2 linked regions of the Sus scrofa genome follow. The protein of the gene in region 1 interacts with the protein of each later gene in a pairwise test. Links are inferred from orthologs where the notes say so. Each region holds a gene or a part of one and is shown in the gene's direction. Other genes may lie near its edges.

Region 1 (3,819 bases):
TTTCCTCCTCCAGCCTATCTCCAAGACTTCTATTTAAAAACAAAATCTGGAGTTCCCATTGTGGCTTAGCAGGTTAAGAACCCAATTAGTATCCCACGAGGATGTGGGTTCGATCCCTAAGCCCACTCCGTGGGTTAAGGATCTGGCGTTGTGGTGTAGGACGCAGACATGGCTTGGCTGTGGCTGTGGTGTAGGCCAGTAGCTGCAGCTCCGATTCAACCCCTAGCCTGGAAATGTCCATATCCCTCAGGTGCAGCCCTAAAAACAAAAACAAAAATACCCCAAATCTGTTCATGTCATTGTTTTCCTTAAAAATTCCTCCTGGCACCCCTTCATCCATGGGACACTTGCCCAAGCCCTTTGGTGTTCCTTGATGGTCTGATACCAGCCTATCATTCCAGCTGTGACCTGGCTTTCACTCAGTTTGTCCTCTGGCCTCCTTCTCAATATTCCTTAATATTCCTGTCCCTTTCAACCACTCAACGTGCTCCTGCCCCTTGTTCCCACCCTGCTGATATTTATTGCATGTGCAGTTTGATTGTGTTAAGATGTTCGCTTTCCGATTCTTTGCTGTGGGCTCTAACCCAGTGTTATTCATATGCTTTTCATAACCAGATTAATATATCAATCGAGAAGCCCTTATTGCTGAAAAGATTGTGGTGCCTTCCACACCATTTGTACTTCAAAATTAAAATAATCCTAGCCCTTTTGCAATTTTCCCCAGGAGTGCTTGAGTAATATTTTTTTCTTTTAAAATGCCGAATACAAAATTCTCTCGAAACGTTTTTCTTCTCAGTTCTTTGGTGGCCCTGTTTTGCTGCCAGCCTCTCATTTATGGCTGGGAATGAGAGGCAGTGTGCTCAATGGTTAATGAGATGGACTTTGGCATCAGTCTGCCAGTGTTCAAATAAATACCAGCTCTGCCACGTATTGGCCCTGGACAAGTTGCGGAACTTCTCTGTGCCTAGTTATTGTATCTTCAAAATGGGGATTATCATAATGTCTACCTCATTGGGTTTTATTTTTTATTTTTATTTTTGTCTTTTTCTGGGGCCACACCTGCGGCATATGGAGGTTCCCAGGCTAGGGGTCTAATTGGAGCTGTAGCTGCCGGCCTACGCCTGAGCCACAGCAATGCAGGATCCGAGCCGTGTCTGCAACCTACACCACAGCTCACGGCAATGCTGATCCTTAATCCACTGAGCGAGGCTAGGGATCGAACCTGCAATCTCAGGGTTCCTAGTCGGATTCGTTAACCACTGAGCCATGACGGGAACTCCCTCATTGGGTTTTAATACACGGCAAGCACCTCCTGGTAGTTAGTGAGTTACGTGTATTTGGCATCTGGTATTAATATAGACTGTATAGAGATTTACTTGGTAATGCCTCTTCCTCCATACCACTGATGTCCTCTTGGATAGACGCTCCACTTTATGCAAAACCTGGTGCCTAGTGGCCACACAGGTAATGTTTCTTAACGAATGGATAATCAGGAGGCAAGGAAATGTGACTTCACTGATTCTCTTACAGACCTCTCTAAGTTTGCTGTCATATCTGGAGAAACAAGATCAAATAGATGAAGATAATCTGACGTTACTGGAGGATGTCTGCAAAAAAATTGCACCTAACCTTATGAGAAAGATAGAAAAATATAAAAGAGAGAAAGGTAACTAGCTTGGCTTGCTTGCTTGCATCAGCCTGTGGGGATTCTTAAACCAGTTGGCTGTGTATGATGTTTGCTCATCAGTCGGAGAACATTCTCTTGGGAAAACCCAAAATCTCCCCAATTTTTCATTCCACGCATGTTTATCGAATGCATGCTTTGTACCAGGCATAATTTTAGAGGTTGGAGATACAGTAAGGTATAGAGCAGAGCTCCTACCCTCTTGGAGCTTTTATGCTGGGGTGGGTGGGGAGAAGTGGTTTGAGACACATGTCTTCTGATTTTTATATGAACGTGAGAGCGAAAAAAGTTGTTTTGCAGGCGATAACATAAAAAAGAAGGAGGCAGGATGGTGTGGGGATGAAGAGTGGGGTCTGTGGGGTCCATGAAGTCAGATTGCCTAGGACTCCACTTACTAATGGTCCCATGGCCCTTTCCTCAGCTGCTCTATGTCTCACTTTTCCCATCCGTCAAGTGGAGATAATAATAGTATCTATTTCATAATTTTTTGAGGGTTGAATGAGGTAATTCCTGTAAAATGTCTGTCTGGCACAGAGTCAGCCTTCAATACACATTGCTGTGAGAGGAAAGTCGTAAAAACACTCATACTCTCAGAAATTACTCTTAGAGAAGAATTTTCTTTCTGGTTTTGCTTTTAGTCTGTCCTGTAAGTGTGGTGGTGCTGTGGTATTATATAAAAGCCATACACGACAGACCTCAAACTTGGCTGCCTCCGCATGTGGCCATATGCTGATAAATATTGGTGTTTTTGAGTCCATGTCGTCACCCTTAAACAAGCTAAAAGCAGACACTCCTGGATGTGTTCATGAAGATTTTATGCTACACCCATATTTTAGTTCAGAGACGCAGTGTAATGTGCACATTTATCTGGTTGAAAACGCAACTAGCCAAAAAGGAAGCTTCTCTCTAAGAATACTGTTAACACAAAACATGTCGAGGAGCAAAAATAGACTGCTGTTAATTTGATAAAATGTCAAACAATAACCCAAGCATAAGGTATAGATAGCTTAGGTAAAAGTTATGAAGAATGAAAACAGCTCTTCTACGGACCAAGTTATCAAGTGAGAAATAAAAAGCAGGAAATATGGAAAGTATATTTTGAAACTCCAACCTGAACTCTGAACACTGAGATTTTTTTTTTTTTCTTCCTGATCACATTATCATTTTGCTGTAACGTAATCCTCCACACAAAGTGAGCAAAGGGCAGTTGGGCAGATTATTTTGAATATTTGAACTCTGGAGAAAATTCTCTATGTAGCAAATGCTTACACTCGCTTCAGTGAATCTTGCAAACTGAGCTTTATATCAGAAGAGGAATTCTACTTTTGATTTTTTTTTTCTGTACGCTACATGCGGTGTAATCTCTTTCGGCTGTTGAAAGAAAAAATTTTATTTTCCTTTATTGCTGCTCCCACCAACCCTTCTGGAACCCTTCTGACCCCAGATGTGAGTTTTTCTACCCCAAGCAATTCTCCAGCTCTCTGTGGACACAGCTGGGTGTCCTATGTTTTAATTTGGTTCTGACACGCACCAGAGTTCTTGCAGTTGCCACAAGTTAAGGGCTCTGTCCCCCAAGACTGCCCCCACCCCCATTTCAGAAGCCAGTCACAGTCCCCGGATTCCCCACAGCTTCGGCTCAACGTGGCTACAAACCAGGGGTTCTCAGGCTGCCCACCTCAGCTTTGATAATTTGCTAGAACAGCTCACAGAACTTAGAAAAAGTGTTCACTTTGGGTCATTGGTTTATTATAAAAGGACACGACTGGTTTATTATAAAAATATTAATGTTATATATAATATATACAAAATATATAATCATATATTGTACATTATACCTTATATAATTATAAGATGATGTACGTATATATAAAATATATAAAACTATTATAGACGGATTTATTATAACAGGATACAACTCAGGAACAGCCCTGTGGAAAGATGCATCAGGCACCGCCTGGGGAAGGAGCCACGCCTCCTCCAGGCAGGTCACCCTCCCAGCATCTCCATTTGCTCACCCACCCAGAAGCTCTCGAATCCCTTCCATTAGGGTTTTTTTTATTTGTTAAATAGGCACGATTGATGAAATCACTGACCATTAAGATGAATTCAACCTCCTGGCCCCGCCCCTTTCCAGA
Region 2 (4,353 bases), on another chromosome or scaffold:
TACTGACTCCCTGTGTACCTGCCCATCTAGTTTGTTTGTTTCGAAACTAGAGGAATGTATCTCTGATTTGTTTGATGTTCTTTGTTCTGCTAAGATATAAAACTGTGCTGCAAAACCGTACTTCTCTGGAGAAGTTCCTGATTTATCTAAGAGTTTGTCTTCTGTGCTAGAGTCCTCGGTTTGGCTCAAATAAATCTCTTTTGTACTACTATTATAGGTTGATTATTGATTATTTTCATCCACAGACCACCGGGCAAGTTACTTTACCTCTCTTGTGTCTGTTTCATCATCAGTAAAACAGAGATAATGATTTAATTTATCTCTCAGAATTATTTTGAGAAGTGTTATTGCAGTACTTTGAGCACTGCCTGGATATAATAAATGAGACACAGGAGTTCCCGTCGTGGCGCAGTGGTTAACGAATCTGACTAGGAACCATGAGGTTGTGGGTTCGGTTCCTGGCCTTGCTCAGTGGGTTAAGGATCCGGCGTTGCCGTGAGCTGTGGTGTAGGTTGCTGACGCGGCTCGGATCCCACGTTGCTGTGGCTCTGGCGTAGGCGGGTGGCTACAGCTCCGATTAGACCCCTAGCCTGGGAAACTCCATATGCCGCGGGAGCGGCCCAAGAAAAGGCAAAAAGACAAAAAAAAAAAAAAAAAAAAAGAAATAAATGTAATAATGTTTGGCTACTTTTATCCTGCCATGTTATGAAAATCTCGCTACAAAATGTCAACTCAAAACTTCTATGTAGTCCTATTTTTTTTCAATGTTACACAACACACTACAAAACTTGACATGCCACGCCCCGCCTCCTACCGACAACAATAAAAACAAAATCGGACCTCTTCAGTTTCCCATCTCTAAACCTGCCATTCTAGGTCTCCCACACCATCCCAGTTTAGCGGTCACCCGGGAGGAGTTCCTCTGGTGGCACCGCGGACACGAATCCGACTAGGAACCGTGAGGTTGCGGGTTGGATCCATGGTCTCGCTCAGTGGTTCGGGATCCGGAGACACCCTCAGCTGTGGTGTAGGTCGCAGATACAGCTTCGATCTGGCGTGGCTGTGGCGTAGGCCGGCAGCTACAGCTCAGATTAGACTCCTAGACTGGGAACATCCATATGCCTCAGGTGGGGACCTATAAAGACAAAAGACAAAAAAAAAAAAAAAAAAAAAAAAAAAAAAAAGTCAGGGGGAAATAAATGATGAATGAATGGAGAGCTGGCTTGCTTGTTTATTTATAGTCCATACAGTCCAAATCTTGTTTAATGAGACCCAGAAGCCCCCTCGGCGAGCCAGGACACAGGATGGACTGCCCAGAGGAAGCCACGCCCGACACCGCTCCGCGGGGCAACCAAGACAGTGACCACCACCTCCCGGTTGGGAGCAGCAACTGGAAGTGCGGCCCGCCGGGGGCGGGGAAAGGTGACCTAAGGCGGAGCCGCGGGCGGCGGCCAATCGGAAGCGAGCGTTCCAGCGAAAAGGGCGGAAGAGAAGAGGTCTAGTTCCGGACGCGGCGGCCGCCGCCGCCATCTGTCACCTCAGCTCCGGCGTCAGCAGCCCGTCGCCCCTGCCCCACCGCCTCTCTCCTCGACGGAAGCTGCTTCCCTGTCCTGCCACCTCTCTGCTCTGTTTCCGTCGCTGTCTTCTTCCCTCACATGGATCTGGTCGGAGTTGCATCCCCTGAGCCCGGGCCCGCAGCGGCCTGGGGACCCAACAAGGTGAGGGGCGGTCGTGGCTGACGTGCCTGCCCTAGTCACCTGGGCTGGTCCTCTCGGAGGGCCCGGAGAGGGTGGCAGGCGCCGGGGCGGCCCCACAGGCGACTCGGAAAGTTCTGGGCAGGACCGGGGCCACCTCGGAAAGGGGGGTGGGAGTGGAAGAGCAGGGACGGGGCGCAGGCTGCCAAGGGCCACCCTGGGAGGTTTGGAGTCTCTCTTTAGTTCGGCACCTTGATTTTTGAGCCTCTGTAGCATATATTTGGGCAGGACTCGCTTAGAGACGCTGACGTGTGAGGGAAAGCAAGTACGAACTTGTTTTTCTTGGGCCAAGTGAGTCAGCCCAATTATACACAGAAAGCCCAACTGAAAGGTGGTTTAGGAAGCTGTTTCCTTAGCTTGGCAAGTGTGGTAATCCTGTTTGGACAGTTTCTTGTTTTTGAGGCAGTAAGAGATCAATCCAGGCGCACCCTCCCTCTTCTTTAGGTTAATCAAGTGTTTTGCTACTGTAAGACTGTTATTTCTAACATCTGCCTGGGCTTTAACGTTTAAGCCTTTTCCTGTAATGGCCAACTGAAATGTTTATTTCACATTACTGGTTTCAGGCTGCTGCTTTTCAGGATACTTTCATTACAAGGGTGAAAAGATTGCCACTTTTCAGAGGATTTGCTTGGAAGCTGAAGTGCTTCAATTGAGATTTTGTGTTCCTCAAAAGAGATTCTGAAGGAAACTAACTTTTTAGCTTCATAGTTGTTCCTTTAAAAATAATGGACGTATAACCACATATTAGTTTAAGGCGTACAGCATAATGATTTTATATATGTATATATTGCAAAATGCTCACCACAATAAGTCAACATACAGGGTTTCAATTTGTGCGTGTTAAGAACTTTTAAGATTTACTCTTACGGAGTTCCCGTTGTGGCGCAGTGGTTAACGAATCCGACTAGGAACCATGAGGTTGTGGGTTTGATCCCTGCCCTTGCTCAGTGGGTTGGGGATCCGGCGTTGCGGTGGGCTGTGGTGAGCAGGCTGCAGACGCGGCTCGGATCCTGCGTTGCTGTGGCTCTGGCGTAGGCCGGTGGCTACAGCTCCGATTAGATCTCTAGCCTGGGAACCTCCATATGCCGCGGCAGCGGCCCGACAAAAAAAAAAGGTTTACTCTCACCAACTTTCAAATATATGATACAGTGTTAGTTAATTACAGTCACCATGCTGTACATCACTCCCATGACTATTTTGTAACTGAAAGTTTCTACCTATTGACCACTTTTACCCATTTCACTCACTTCTTTACATGCTAACACAGAACATTTGTTCTCTTTAAAGGGTCACTCGTTAATCTTATTAGATCTTCGGACTAGGTCTTAAGAGAAAGTGGGAGGGGGGAAATTAGCTGTTCAGTAAAGGAAATTTTTATGAAAGTTCTCCTACAACCCTAGGGAGATTCTAAGATATTCTGGTGACAAATGTGGGTACATTTATGTGTTACTTTGTGTGTTTTTTTCTACTATGGCCTTGTTTACCGGGGCAAGATCAGTAGACATAAAAGGATGAAATCAGTGCTTTATTAAATTCCTCAATTAAGCATCTGTAAAGCTTGTACAAATGTCAAGTGAGATGAACTTTGCTCAGAATGCCTAATTTCTGTAAAAGTTCCCTTACAAAATTAATTTAGTAATAAAATATTTGATATCAGTGATATTTTCATTTAAGTGTACATCATATGAACTATAAAATTTCATTTTCACCTTTCAGTGAAAATCATCCTGGGATTTATTGCTCTTCTGTTGGGAAGACAGCATCTTCATAGGCAAAACACCACAAGTATCGCTTACTCTTTTCCTTCTCTGACTTCTTAGAAAACTGAAGTAATTATAGATGCATATGTAGAGGAGGTAGAGATTTGAGGAACGTCTTAGAAAATGAAGGAGTGTTAAAGGCCAGCAATTCTCAGAACTTTTCCATCAGGACTTCTTTTCACTCTTAATAACCATTGAGGAATCCAAGATTTTTTTTTTTTATGTTGATTAAATCTATTGATATTTGTCATATCAGAAATTAAAGCTGAGATATTGAAAATATTTACTATGTGATGTAAGTCATTATATTAATATAGATAACATTTTTATACTTTATAAAAAAGCTATTTTCCAAAACAATTAGTGTCTTGTGTTTTTGCAAGTCTCTTTAAGGTCTGATTTAATAGAAGACAGCTGGATTCTCATAGCTCTTTTTTTCTTCAGTCTGTTGCAGTACAACAGAAGTCAAATTAGTTGAAGTAATCGAAGATGGGGAATAAGAGCATGGTAGACACACTAAGAACAAACTGAGTTAATCTCTAAAAATGCACATTTATATCCTAAACCTATGGCCTTTGAAAATTTTGGAAAACATAAGAATACACATACACACATTCTAGTAGCCACCACAGGGCTGCCGTCGTATCTGATGGAGACTCTGAAAAACTCCATACTCTTGAGAGAACGAGAGTGAAAAAGATGAAGAATATCTTAGAACTATTCTGAAAGTGATTTTGACTTCTTAGACACCCTAAAAAGGACTTGGGGTCCCCAGTTATAAAATTCCAAACTGCCATTATGGACAAAAGAATTTTAGGGAATATTCCAGGAAGGGCGTA

Evidence for each region.
Region 2: the proteins of CASP10 (region 1) and RIOK3 interact in binary tests that used the Homo sapiens proteins (3 or more experiments, as listed by UniProt). The link is inferred for Sus scrofa from reciprocal best matches to the Homo sapiens genes CASP10 and RIOK3.

What each region holds. Positions count from the first base shown.
Region 1 is NC_010457.5:104,867,834-104,871,652, forward strand, and holds part of CASP10 (caspase-10), read left to right. Parts: intron 1-1,530; coding exon 1,531-1,666; intron 1,667-3,819. UniProt on the Homo sapiens protein: Involved in the activation cascade of caspases responsible for apoptosis execution. Recruited to both Fas- and TNFR-1 receptors in a FADD dependent manner. May participate in the granzyme B apoptotic pathways.
Region 2 is NC_010448.4:108,337,509-108,341,861, forward strand, and holds the start of RIOK3 (serine/threonine-protein kinase RIO3), read left to right. Parts: upstream 1-1,477; 5' UTR 1,478-1,655; coding exon 1,656-1,718; intron 1,719-4,353.